Cricetulus griseus: one gene and its partners. The protein of the gene in region 3 purifies or fractionates together with the protein of the main gene of each other region. This does not show direct contact. Links are inferred from orthologs where the notes say so. Each region holds a gene or a part of one and is shown on either strand. Other genes may lie near its edges. The genes, in order: Cask, Lin7c and Arhgef26.

Region 1 (4,132 bases), on a different chromosome or scaffold from region 3:
AGGCACACTGCATAGATATTTGGTGAGTTTGGGGCAGGAGGCAGGAGAAGCTGTTTCTCGAGTTCCCTGTTCGTTCTTGCACACCTTCCTCTGCAGTTTTTGTTTGGTCCTTTCCTTGGACAATTCTCCCCCTCCCCCACCCTCATCTTCATTAAGGAATGGCAGGGTGCCACTAAAAGCATCCGCCGCCAAGTGCCGTCCTGAGTGACAGTCTCTCTCCACCTCCTCTCTGGCTTTTCCATTCATTAGAACCCTTTCCCTGCGTTTTTTTTTTCCCAGCCCCAAACTGGGAAAGGCTTCCTGAGGTTACGAAAGAACGGGGAAAGCTGCCAAAGTGCTGAGCATGCTGTCCCAAAACGTGCATACTGCTGTGGACCCTTTGTCCCCAGCCCCCTTTCTCCACTTGGTCGCAGCTTGAGAATAGAGGCGACGACCTCCACCAGCCCCACCTCAGTAGCCGCAACCCGCGGAGCTCCGCCAGCCGACCCCCAGCGCCCTCTAGATTCCCCGCGCTTGCCGGTTCTCCGTGACGTTCCGGGCGCTGCGCGCATGCGCCACGGGGAGCGCTTTCCTCGCGCCCCCCCCCGCCTCCCCCCGTCCCCCGCCTCTTTCCGCGGTCCCCGCCTCCCAAAGGGCTGGAGTGGGCGGGGCCTGCGCTCCAGCAGCCGCGCGGGCCGAAAGGGAGGAGGCTTAGTGTGCGCGAGGCGGGTGCTCGGGGCTGGCAAGCCAGGCGGCAGCTGAAGCTTAGGGGAGGAGCTGAAGGCAGCGGTCGCCGCTCCCGCCCGCACTGAACACTCATCCCGCGAAGCCCCCTCCCACACTTGGGCGGGCGGCGGCGGCGGGAGGAGGAGGAGAAGGAGGAGGGAGCGTCTCTGCCGCCGCCTCCTGGTCCCCAGCGCCGATCAGCCGCCACCACCTCCCTTCGCGACGATCCTCCTTCCATGGTGCTGTCGCGGCCCCCCCTGTAGTCCGAGCTGCCCCGCGCCGCGCCGGAGTCGGTCTCGGGCAGAGGGAGCGGTCGCGGCCTCGCGGCCCGCGCGGGCTGACGAGCAGAGAGTGCGGCGCCTCGCGGGTCCCCGAGGGTCCGCACGCCCGGCAGCGCGGCGGCGAGCGACAGCGCCAAGAGCAGCGGGCGGGCGGGCGGCGCCGGGGCCCGGGCCGCCCTCGCTCCCACGCCCCGGCCCCGCCGCCCGCGCCGGGGCGGCAGCCGGCAGAGGAAAGGCGCTGCAGTCTCCGGGCCTCGCGGCCCCAGTTGAGCTTCCTCGGCACTGAGGGCTTGCGGGTCCGGTGGGGAGGACGCGAGCCCGGAACCCGGGCACTGAGCTCTTGGGCGCCCCCAACCCAGTTTTCAGAACCCTCCACGCTGCGGCCACTGTCCCCTTCGGACCATGGCCGACGACGACGTGCTGTTCGAGGATGTGTACGAGCTGTGCGAGGTGATCGGCAAGTGAGTCTCCACGCGAGGGAGCGGGAATGTGGAAAAATGCATTTCAGCGATGCCCGGGGCCTCCCGCACCCGCTCCGGGCCTGCCCCCTGCCCTCTTTCCCTCCCCTCTGCCTCCCTCGTCCTCTTCACCCTGGAGTATTTATAGACGTGTACCTGGATCTCCTGCCAGGAGAGGGTCTGGGGGCTTCTCAACGACCCGTGGAGGCCAACGAGCCCGGGTCGGCCACCCCATAAGGCGTGGGGCGGGCTCCCTGCATTTTATCTGACGGTTACACAGGGACGTGGCAGGACCGATTTTATAGTTGCTTCCTGGGAACAGTTGGGGTTATTGTTACCTTTCCTGTACCATAGACCTTTTCACGAAAAGAGCAGCCTGCATTTCGTGTGCGTGTGTGGAGAGAGCGAGGAGCGCGTCCAGGGTTTTTAATTGTGGGGTGTGTGTCTATTGTGCCAGGATATTAGACAGATGCCTTTGTGTTCACCCCGTGCCCGGATTTAAGAGGGTCATTGAAGACGGGTGCGTCCAGTTTCAGCAAATTCTTCACCTGCCTTAGACGAACGTAGAAAGAGTTAGGGGCACCCAAATTTTTAATGCCTCGTTATGCAATGACTGTACAATCAGTGCTCGAGGCTCCCTTCCACTGTTGTTGGGATGGTGGTTAGCGTGGTAGAGCCGTCTGCTTTGAGTCACCGGGCTGGTCTAGAATATAGAACTGACAGTCCAAATGCTCATCCTTTCATCTGTGTTGTATAATTACACTAGGGAAAAGAAGGGAATCAGATTAATCACAGTACTGATTGAGAATTAAATCTGCAGTTCCTCATCTAATTGTCCGGTCCTGAAATCTGTTTTGAATTGTTTCCTTTTCATTCTTGTCAAACAATATTCCAAGTGCACAATCCTGCTAATTTGCTTGTGAGGGAAATGCTGGCAATCTGAAGTTGATTTCCTAGCTCAGCGTGTATTCTGTGGCTTTGGAAGTTGAGATGAGATTTAAGAGCGATTTTTGCTTATTTAATAGGGCTCGTTAGATAGCTAGTATTGAAATATTTTCCCTCTTTTTGGAAGCGGTGCTTTATTGTCTATTTTAAGGTTCACAGTTGGGAAATGAAACCAAGACAGAGCAGTTGGCTCTACCTCTTTTAAGTTGTCTGCAGTATACTCAGTTTCAATTTTTTGAGTACTGATAACTCATTTTTTCCTCCATATTGAGGTATTACATTGCTGCTCACATGGTGAAATTGTGGGTAGAGCTTGCTACACTCTTTTCTTAGACCCAAATGCTTCGAGGACGCATTACTCCTTGCCCCATTGTTCAATGACCAGCCTGTCTGTTAGGAGGAAGATGTCCAAATGTGTCTGATAGAGTCGTGGTTGTGCCCTAGAGCAGCGCTGCCCAAAGCTATTTAATGAGAGCCACGTGTAATTTATAATTTTCTAGTAGCCACATTAGAAAGATTTAAAACAAAAAGGTACAATTAATTTTAATAAAATATTTATTTAATATATTACATCTGAATTAGTGATTTCAGCATGAATTTTTTGCAATACTGTGCATCTTTTCATACTAAGCCATTTAAATCCTATGTGTGTTTTATACTAACAGCACATCTCGATTTTGACGCTAAGCTAAATTTTCACCAGAAGTACTTGATCTGTATTTAGGTCTCATAAAATTTGCATGTGCAAAAGTAGATTCACATACTCAAGTTGTTCCAAACATACATAAAAGTTTTCCAGTAACGGAATTTGCTATTTCTAAATTTTAATCAATTAAGCAGAATGCAAAATTTACTGCCTCAGTTGGATTAGCCACATTTCAAGTGCTTAATAGCCACAGTCGACTACCACATTTCTAGAGAAAAATATAAAAAAATCTCCTTCACTTCTTCATTGTTGAGAGCACACAAAGAAGGTAAATTAGATGTTTCTCAAAACCACCCAAATGACCAGGTGTGAGTGAGTGATGTTTGTTGTATCTTAGTTATGGCTGTTGTAAGTGAGCCTGCAGTTGGAAAATGTGGGATTACGATGCTTTCATATATTATGATGTTGGAAAATAGCCATAACTGAATCAATAATGGTGACTGCTTCTGATTCCTTCAGGTCTAAAAGGATGACAGTGTGATCCCCTTGGATTTTGGAAAGTGGTCAGTCTCATGTTAGCAGTCTTTTTGCACTGACTTAAATTTGATAATATATTTTCAGAAGACACCCCTGGTAGAATTAAGTTTATCTATTCTGTTGTTTTGCAGCTACATAAGGAGGAAGAAAGAACGAGCTAATTTTGAGATGCTAGGTAGTCAGTGGCTGCCTGCACTTCTGTGAACTGTGAAATTTCATTCCTAGTCTACAAAATCTGACTTGGTGTCATTTATAAAATGCCATTTCTTGAAATAATGAATCCAAGATAGTCTCAGTGTTAAAGAATGTAATAATGGTGTTTTCCAGCCTGTGCAAAGGTTGAAGGTTTCTCCAGTAAATTGTGTCAGTATATATTGATCCTGAAACTGAAATTCGTTTGAGATATTTTTTTTTTTTGCAGGGACCTAGACAGCATACATTTAAACTAAGAATTTGTTCAGTTATGAGCTTAAACAGAAAGGCCTTGCAGATCATCATTCCTCCTGAAAATCTTTTTGTTGATTTCTATCCAGACTCTACAGAATTTTGGTTTTCTTTTG
Region 2 (3,646 bases), on a different chromosome or scaffold from region 3:
AAAATTCTGAGATATGAGAATTTCATCAATGAAAGCAAGCTATTTCTACTCATGCTCAATAGTACCAAGCAAAGCTATGTATTTGGCTCCTTTAAGTTACTTTTATTTTACGAATTATAAATAGGTAGCAGCCCACACAAAGAACAGATTGTGAATTACTGCAGAAGAAAAAGCTTACTCAACAAACTAAAAAAAGAAAAAAAAATGTAACTTGGCTGAAATTCTGCAATCGCTGAAACATGAACCAGGAGGCTGTAATTGTAACGGAACGCTGATGTGTACTGAGGAGCAACTGTAGCCATAGTAGCTAGGCTGAGACAAGACCCCAGGGTGTACTTGCCCTGTGATGTAGGGATACGAGCACAACAATAATATTACTGTTCTATATGCACCAACTTTAATATATAGAGTTTTACAAATACCTCTAATAATCTTACAATTAAATTAAAATATGTCATACTCTTCTATACTACTTTGGTCTCAACATTTTAAAAACACATCAGCTAATTTTGAAAATATACAATTCAACATGATGCTATCAATATCAAGCACATTTTGTAGTGGACTAAAGACATTCAACCATGCACAATCCAGTGTTCAATTCCTAAATGATAAATAACAATGCTGACTTTTACTCTGAAAACCACTGAAAGCTACAGATATTTTGTAAGACTGACAGTGCTCACAAACATGCAAAGCCGTGTACACACTTCCATTCTTCCTGAAGGAATGTTACAAAATGCCCATTTTTTTTTTAAAAAAATAAAGGTAATAAAGTCATAATTATGATAATTTCCTGCATTTCAACCCATCAGTTTTTTAACATCATCACCTCAACCTTTTATAAATGTTCTTATAATCTGTGACTGAAAATGAATCAACTTTGATTTCAGCTTTTATAAGACTTAGTCATAATCACACATCGATAGCTGCCTTTTAGTAAAATAGTGACATCCAGTGGACAAATGGTAAAAAGCATTGTTCAGACTCTCATCGCTATCTGAATCATAAAGATAAGAAGCATTCTGAACCCCACTCATTGTGAGACTTAAGAAGCTGCCTGTTTCTGTATCTTAAACAAATCCTGCCTCCTCTTCCTGTCTCGAATTAGAACTGAAGCTGAACACTAATTATGTTGGGCTCTTCAGGCTCCACATTTAAGTTATTACTTTGTCTTATTTTCATTTTTCTCAGCACAAACTACCTCATCTCTAGGCATGGAAGAACTGAAATATGAGAAATATATTTAAATATAAATGAATAGCCTAACAAATTTGAAAAGTTGAAATCTGAGCTTGTTTGCATTTATAATTTATGACATAAATAAGGGATTTAATCAGTAATGTTAATAATCAAATTACATCCTCTTGATTCACTGCTTAAATATTATGAAAGAATACCTATTTAGCAATGATTGCTTCAGTGTTTAAAAACTTACTTTTACAAATCAGTATAAATGAATACATTATACACTGTTTAAATAAAGATAAAAAGGTTCCATGATAGCAATGATTTACCACTGATTACAGATACATTTATGTATGTTCTAAGTACAAAATGCAGCAGCAATGCCAACATTCAATGTGATAAACTGCTGAAGGAAAGACTGCTAGTTTTAATATTTTGGAAAATTGAAAAGAAATTTCACAAAGAAATTGCAGTAAGCAAAAGGAAATATTGGAGAACTGTTATTTGTAAATAAGTTGCCAAATGATGAAAAGCTCTTTTTAAAAAAAGATTAAGAATGTAAAAGTACATTTTAATATTAAAAAAGCATTTTTAAAAATCTATAACAACTTTGTGACAAAATCTGCATTTGAAAAAGGCCTGTAAAAACAGCAGGACAGAACTGCCCTCATCACCTTTTACTTTTTCTCGTGAGAAAAAAAGTGTATGCTTCTCTACAACCGTAAGTGATGCTAAAATAGGCATTTATAAAATGGCAAGAAGATTTCACGGAAGTTTCTGGTGGTTTACAATCACTGGCATCGAGGCCATCAGTAGGTCACAAGTAAAACTTTTCTAGCTAAAAGCAAAGAGGAACATAAAGTTTTTAAATGATTAGGTCTGTTGTCTGCGTTTTGCTGATCTCATTTTTTCAAAGCGTGATTCCATTTCTTCCAGGACTTTTGGTGTATACCGTACAACTAATTTAACCTTCCCTTGGGCTGCTTTCAGTAGCTCTACAGCTTTTTCATGATGCTCTCCTTCAACACTCTGAAAAAATGCACACACACAAAGAAACAGTTAACAAGTAATCCAACCTGTAAAAATGTTTAAAACACAAGTAAAAATTTTAAATGTTACATCATTTCAGCACTATAAAAATAACAATCTTATTTTATCACTTTAATCTGAAATCCTATGATACACATTTGTGCATATTCTAGGAATATACACACACCTTAGGTCAGCAGTAGATCAAGTAACTGCCATTCCTCACGAGTAAAATGCGGGTTTATTTCTAATTTATACAGTTTTAGCTCCTCCGAGCACTGCTGATATACCCTGGAGTGCTCTACAGCCACACCTTTTTTTTTTTTTTTTTTTAAATTTGTTTTTCATTTTAAATACTAACTCCAGTTCTCCCTCCCTCCCCTTCTCCGGCTCTTCCCCTCATCAACTCCTCAGAGGGTAAGGCCTTCCTTGGGGAGTCAACAAAGTCTGTGCAGACCAAGTTGAGGAAGGACCAAGCCCCTCCCTGTTATCCCACCATAAGGAACGAGTTCCAAAAAGCCAGTTAATGCACCTGGGATAGGTCCTGGTTCCACTGCTAGGGCTAGTCCCGAAACAGATCATGCCACATTAACTGTCACCCACATTCAGAGGGTCTAGTTCAGTCCCATGCAGGTTCCCCAGCTGTCAATTCAGTCTGTGAAAGCTAATCTACAGCCGCACTTAAAGTACTGGGCTGGGGATGCAATTCAGTGGTCAAGTGGTAGCCTGGCATTCTGAGTTTGGTGTTCAGCCCAACAACAACCTCCACTATCACCAGCAAATCAAAACAACCACACAACACTGTACTGAGCAGTACCACTTGGGTTTCTCTCAAGGGATTTCAACTCAGTCTCAGAAGTTTTTCCCCTTTCATTTTCTGATTCGATTGCTCCAGTGCACCCCCAAGTGGCTACAACACATTACTGCATATAACAAATGTAAACAGATTTATCTTTACCACTCCGTTAACAGAAAGTAGCTGATCTCCTCGTTTGAGACCCCCATGTCTGTCAGCAATTCCACCTGGAATTATCCGTGAGATATAGATTGGTGAGTTTTGTTCTTTGCCTCCCATGATATTGAATCCAAGGCCCTCTTCTGTTTTGGGTAACTCAACAACTCGGGGATGGGAGTGCCCTTCACTGGCAGCAAAAGCAGCAACAGTAGCCTGGAAAAGAAATGCACACATCTAAGAACACAACTTATTTTTGAGGAGCTGGGGTTTGAACCCAGGGACTCAGATATGCTAAGAATGTGATCTCTAGCTTGCCAAAGGCACTTCTGAACCACAAAGCTTTTCATTTGTGAGCTCTCACAACTTTACTGTAAGTCAAACATGTTTGCAGAAGATAAATGACGATGATAAATACTCAGAGATGATGTAGGAAGTAAACTTCAGAAATATGTGCTACATGTGCACAGGGCTGGT
Region 3 (4,073 bases):
GTCATGGGGACCAGTTACTAGTATTCTCAGAGCTTCTGATTTCTGCACTTATAAAATCAAGGAGACGAATTTATCCCAATTAGCCAAAATACTGTATCTGGGTTTCTTCTCCAAAACTTTCTACAATTAGTACAATGACTTCATTGATTACCCATTTGCAGTTATGCAGGAACTATTTTACAATCACCCAAATTAAATATTAAATCTACATGGCTTTCCTTTAGCTTTTCTTACAGTGGGGCATACTTTCCTTCATTTTCACATAAAGGTAGAAAGCTTTCATGCTTTTACATAAAGGTAAAAGCATGAAAGTAAATCCACTCACTGTCCCCAGGAGTCTCAGGGGAAGGCCTGAGACTGCCCCTTCATGCTGCTCCAGTTGGCTGACACCTGACCCATCTATTTACAGAGTCTACTAATCTGATTAGCATGTGAACACCTGGCTGAGTCTGCTTGTGCTTTTGAAATCCTTAACAACAAATAATATACAAGTCACAAATTCTCAAGATTGTTGTTTTTTCCACCAGAAAAGCTGCATTTCCCCAAAGGAGAAACTTAGTAGGAAAACAGGAAGTCACAAGTGAAAATCAAAGGTGGAAATATGGTGAAAATAATATTAAGGAAGAAAAAAAATGTGGCCTAAGGAAAAACCACATAAGATCCAAGTGTCAATTAAAGAGCCAGAGCTTGCTCTGCAGCTGGGGACGGAGCCAGGGCAAAGAAGAAAGAAGAATGAAGCTCCCAAGATGTAAACTGAAAAAGTTATCAGCTTATAAAAATGCTCCCTCATGAGTAAAAACCTTAGCTTAGTGAACACAGCTTTGCACTGTAGAGTCCAAGACAAAGTTGGGCAATTCTGTGTTTTCATCTCAAGTGTCTTTGTTACTTCAGTTAGTTTTGAACTTATAATTGATGTGTCACATTGAAATTGCAATAAATTTCAGTTTTATTGGAAAACTGGAAAATTAAATGCTTACCTTCCCCATCAAATGTACCTTGTCCTTTCAGCATTTTTTTCTAAGAGAAGAGGAAAGCAAAAAAAAAAAAAAGGGGGGGGGAGAAAAGCAAACTATGTATGAATGAGCCTGTAAGTAAACGTGCCCTTTTGTTATATCCCTCAGATTCCCAAAAGCACACCGCAGAGAATCCCCATGCCAATTCACAAACAGTCAAATAAAATGCACAGCACCCCCCACATGCCCTTAAACCAGACTAAGAATCCTCAAATGACCAGCATTTCCACACAGTTCACTACCTGATTCACTCTCACTGTGAAACTGAACTTTGCTATCCTTGACAGCTGTGTCAGTGTGTGTGTGTGTGGGGGGGGGGTGTACATAAAATGTTATGTTATGTCTTTTCTTTAAGACCATATGTCTAAAATGAAACAGGTTTGTTTGTGTATTGCATATTTGACATTTATATAGACTTGTTCCAGTTCTCTGATTAATCAAAAAAAAAATTGTGACTGCCAAAGGCAGGCTTTGCCCTATGCTTAGATATGTCTTGTGTCTAAGAAAGTGGCACCTACTCCAAAATACCCCTGTCTAGTTGTCTTTTTTCCTTTAGGTCGAAATGGAAAAAAATATTCAATAAGTGCAACTGCTAGGCCTTTATCAGCATATATCACCTCATACCCTCACTCAAGTTCTAAGCTACTAGTCTGTCAAATACACTCAATGATTAATAGTAATCAGCTATAAACAAGGAACATGGTGACTAAAACAAAACAACAGAAGTCAGAGTACTGTTCCAGGGCTTGGGTACTGATTTAAACTCATTTTACTAGAATGTTGTCAAAAGTGCCATGATCATTCAACACTTGTCCCAAACACGTTCACTTTGAGTTTAATGAAGGCAAGTGAGTCTGCCCAGTCCTACCTTTATCCTTCCCAGGCTAGAGAACTTCTCCTTGTCTTCCATCACTGCCTTCAGAACAGGCTGGGACATTCTGTTCTTCTTCTTTGAGCTAGTGGGGCTGTCAAAGTCAAAGCCGCTGACCACTGCCCTTCGGTAAGAAGTGGACCGCAAGCCTCGCCGCAGAGAGCCCGGGCTGTCCAAGTCGTTGTCGACTTCGCCTTCCTCCCCTTCGTGGCCCAGGGGTGCTCCCAGTCCCTCCACCATGCTGCGCACCTTGAGGAGCCTCCTGTGGGGCTCTACATTTTGACTATTGGATTTACTCAGCTTAATTTCCGAGGCAAGGCTTTTCGGGATTATCTGTTGCTTTCCCATCTTGAGGGCGGCGGGGCTGTTGGTACTCAAAACCACGGAAGGGTTCGGGAGCTCATTCCCTTGGGAGGGCAACCTTTGGAGCGGCAGTTTTTGTTCTGAAGACCTGTGCTGGGGTGCAGGGGAGAGTCTCGAGGACCCGGGCTCCAAGTCCCTAGCCGTCTGACCAGTTAGTGAAGCTGAGCCAGGTGAGTCGTTTTTAGGGACAAGGCCATTGGCAATGGGAGAAGATACCTTACTGGCAGTTACGACGGTGCGATCCTCCTCCGGGTCAGGAGCGTCGGGAGTCCGAGATGCGCCCAACAGCGCCGCGGACGAGGCCACCGTGCCATTAGCGGAGGGCTTCGGGGAGCCGCCCGACGCCGCGTGAAGAACTAGGGGTGACTTGGGTCGTCGAAGTCGAGGAGAAGCAGCTCTATAGTCCGGGGACACCGAGCGACCATTGGTCACCGGCCTCCGATGCGGGCACAGAAGCTGGGGGCTCCTGGAAACCATCCTGCCGTCCGGGGCGGCGGACACACGGGAGGGAGTCTGCGGCACGGGCAGAGCCGCCAGTTCCTCCACCGGGAAGTCGGTTATCAACAGTCCGCTGGGGCTCTGGTAGGACTGTGGCCGAGGCTTGCTCCGGCCAAGTAGCTGGAGAGGAGGGGTGGACCGTCTCCGCCACAAAGGGGTGACGCCGTTGCTGGAAAAATCCACCTCGCTTTCGCTGTCCATGGCGGGGCCTTGGGGCCGGCCCCGGGAGAAGGAGAGCTGCTCAGGTTGCCTAAGAGGAAGGAACTTTGGCTCCGGACAACTGGTCTCGTCTGGGAGCCCAGCCGGCTCCCAGCTTGGCAGTCACACGGGTGTCGCGCGGGACTCGGCAGCGCCGCACTTACCCGCCCTTTCTCGGGCACAGCGCCTCCCGCCACACTGCGCGACCGCGGGCAGAGATCCGAGCTGCTGCCGATAGGTTGAATCCGGTCCTTCCTGCGTCCTTCCCGCGCCCAAAGCCCGCCGGTACCCTACAAAGCCTGCCACCCACTCACAGAGGGTAGCCGACCCGCAGGACACTTGGGAAGAGTTCAGCTGGCTCCCACAGCTCGCCGCGGGACGCTTCCCGGTGCCTCCATCCAGCCGCCCGCTCCGCGCCACTCTACCGGGCCCCCGCTGCGCGGCTCACGGCGCGCTCACCCTTCCGGGTGTCCAGAGCGCAGACCAAAGAATGCTCCCGGCCCCGTGGGTGGCCCGGGTCCGCACCAAAGCGCGGGGGAAAGAGCTCGGCACGGCGCAGCAGCGGCCCGCGGCGCCGGCTCCGCCCCCACGCTGGGGCCAGCCCCTCTTGGCCCCGCCCCCTGTACGCCCGGGAATCTTGCGGAGAGGAGTCCGCGAATCGTTCCCTCTTGCCACCCACCTCCCCGCCTTCACCTCTCTGCCTAGAGGACGCGCACACCTGAGCCGGGTGCGTAGACGCAAGTACGGGGTTGCAGGAGCGCAGGCGGCCGCCGCAGGGGCCAGCTGGAGGGCGCGGGCGCGGCACGGAGCACAGCGTGGGAAGGATCGAGAGAGCGAGCTTTGCCACGGTGTACTTTCTGGTCTCCGAGCCCGGGAGGAGGAGGTTGGAATGGTTATTAAATCACGTCGGAGCGTGGCGCTACTCTTGGAAAGGTGAACCACTTCGGAGGGTACTGCTGGGCCCCTAGCGATCTTCAAATTGAGCCTCACTCCCCTACTTAACAGTGCCATGTGGACTATAGACGGATTTACTTGTGTGCACTCAGAGGGAAACTGGCTCTGAGGCCAGGTGGAATTGATTTCGTAATCTTTGGACTTTGTGTGTTTGAAAGTTACACAGTAAAAGTAAA

Evidence for each region.
Region 1: the proteins of Arhgef26 (region 3) and Cask purify together in Homo sapiens (affinity purification with mass spectrometry; 3 studies listed by BioGRID and IntAct, with this or other methods). This does not show direct contact. The link is inferred for Cricetulus griseus from reciprocal best matches to the Homo sapiens genes ARHGEF26 and CASK.
Region 2: the proteins of Arhgef26 (region 3) and Lin7c purify together in Homo sapiens (affinity purification with mass spectrometry; 3 studies listed by BioGRID and IntAct, counting the BioPlex papers as one, with this or other methods). This does not show direct contact. The link is inferred for Cricetulus griseus from reciprocal best matches to the Homo sapiens genes ARHGEF26 and LIN7C.

The regions. Positions count from the first base shown.
Region 1 is NC_048604.1:119,409,664-119,413,795, reverse strand, and holds the start of Cask (peripheral plasma membrane protein CASK), read left to right. Parts: upstream 1-1,254; 5' UTR 1,255-1,388; coding exon 1,389-1,447; intron 1,448-4,132. UniProt on the Homo sapiens protein: Multidomain scaffolding Mg(2+)-independent protein kinase that catalyzes the phosphotransfer from ATP to proteins such as NRXN1, and plays a role in synaptic transmembrane protein anchoring and ion channel trafficking.
Region 2 is NC_048599.1:68,121,376-68,125,021, forward strand, and holds part of Lin7c (protein lin-7 homolog C), read right to left. Parts: intron 3,386-3,646; coding exon 3,176-3,385; intron 2,218-3,175; coding exon 2,062-2,217; 3' UTR 1-2,061. UniProt on the Homo sapiens protein: Plays a role in establishing and maintaining the asymmetric distribution of channels and receptors at the plasma membrane of polarized cells.
Region 3 is NW_023276806.1:89,775,730-89,779,802, forward strand, and holds the start of Arhgef26 (rho guanine nucleotide exchange factor 26), read right to left. Parts: upstream 2,947-4,073; coding exon 1,882-2,946; intron 1,018-1,881; coding exon 978-1,017; intron 1-977. UniProt on the Homo sapiens protein: Activates RhoG GTPase by promoting the exchange of GDP by GTP. Required for the formation of membrane ruffles during macropinocytosis. Required for the formation of cup-like structures during trans-endothelial migration of leukocytes.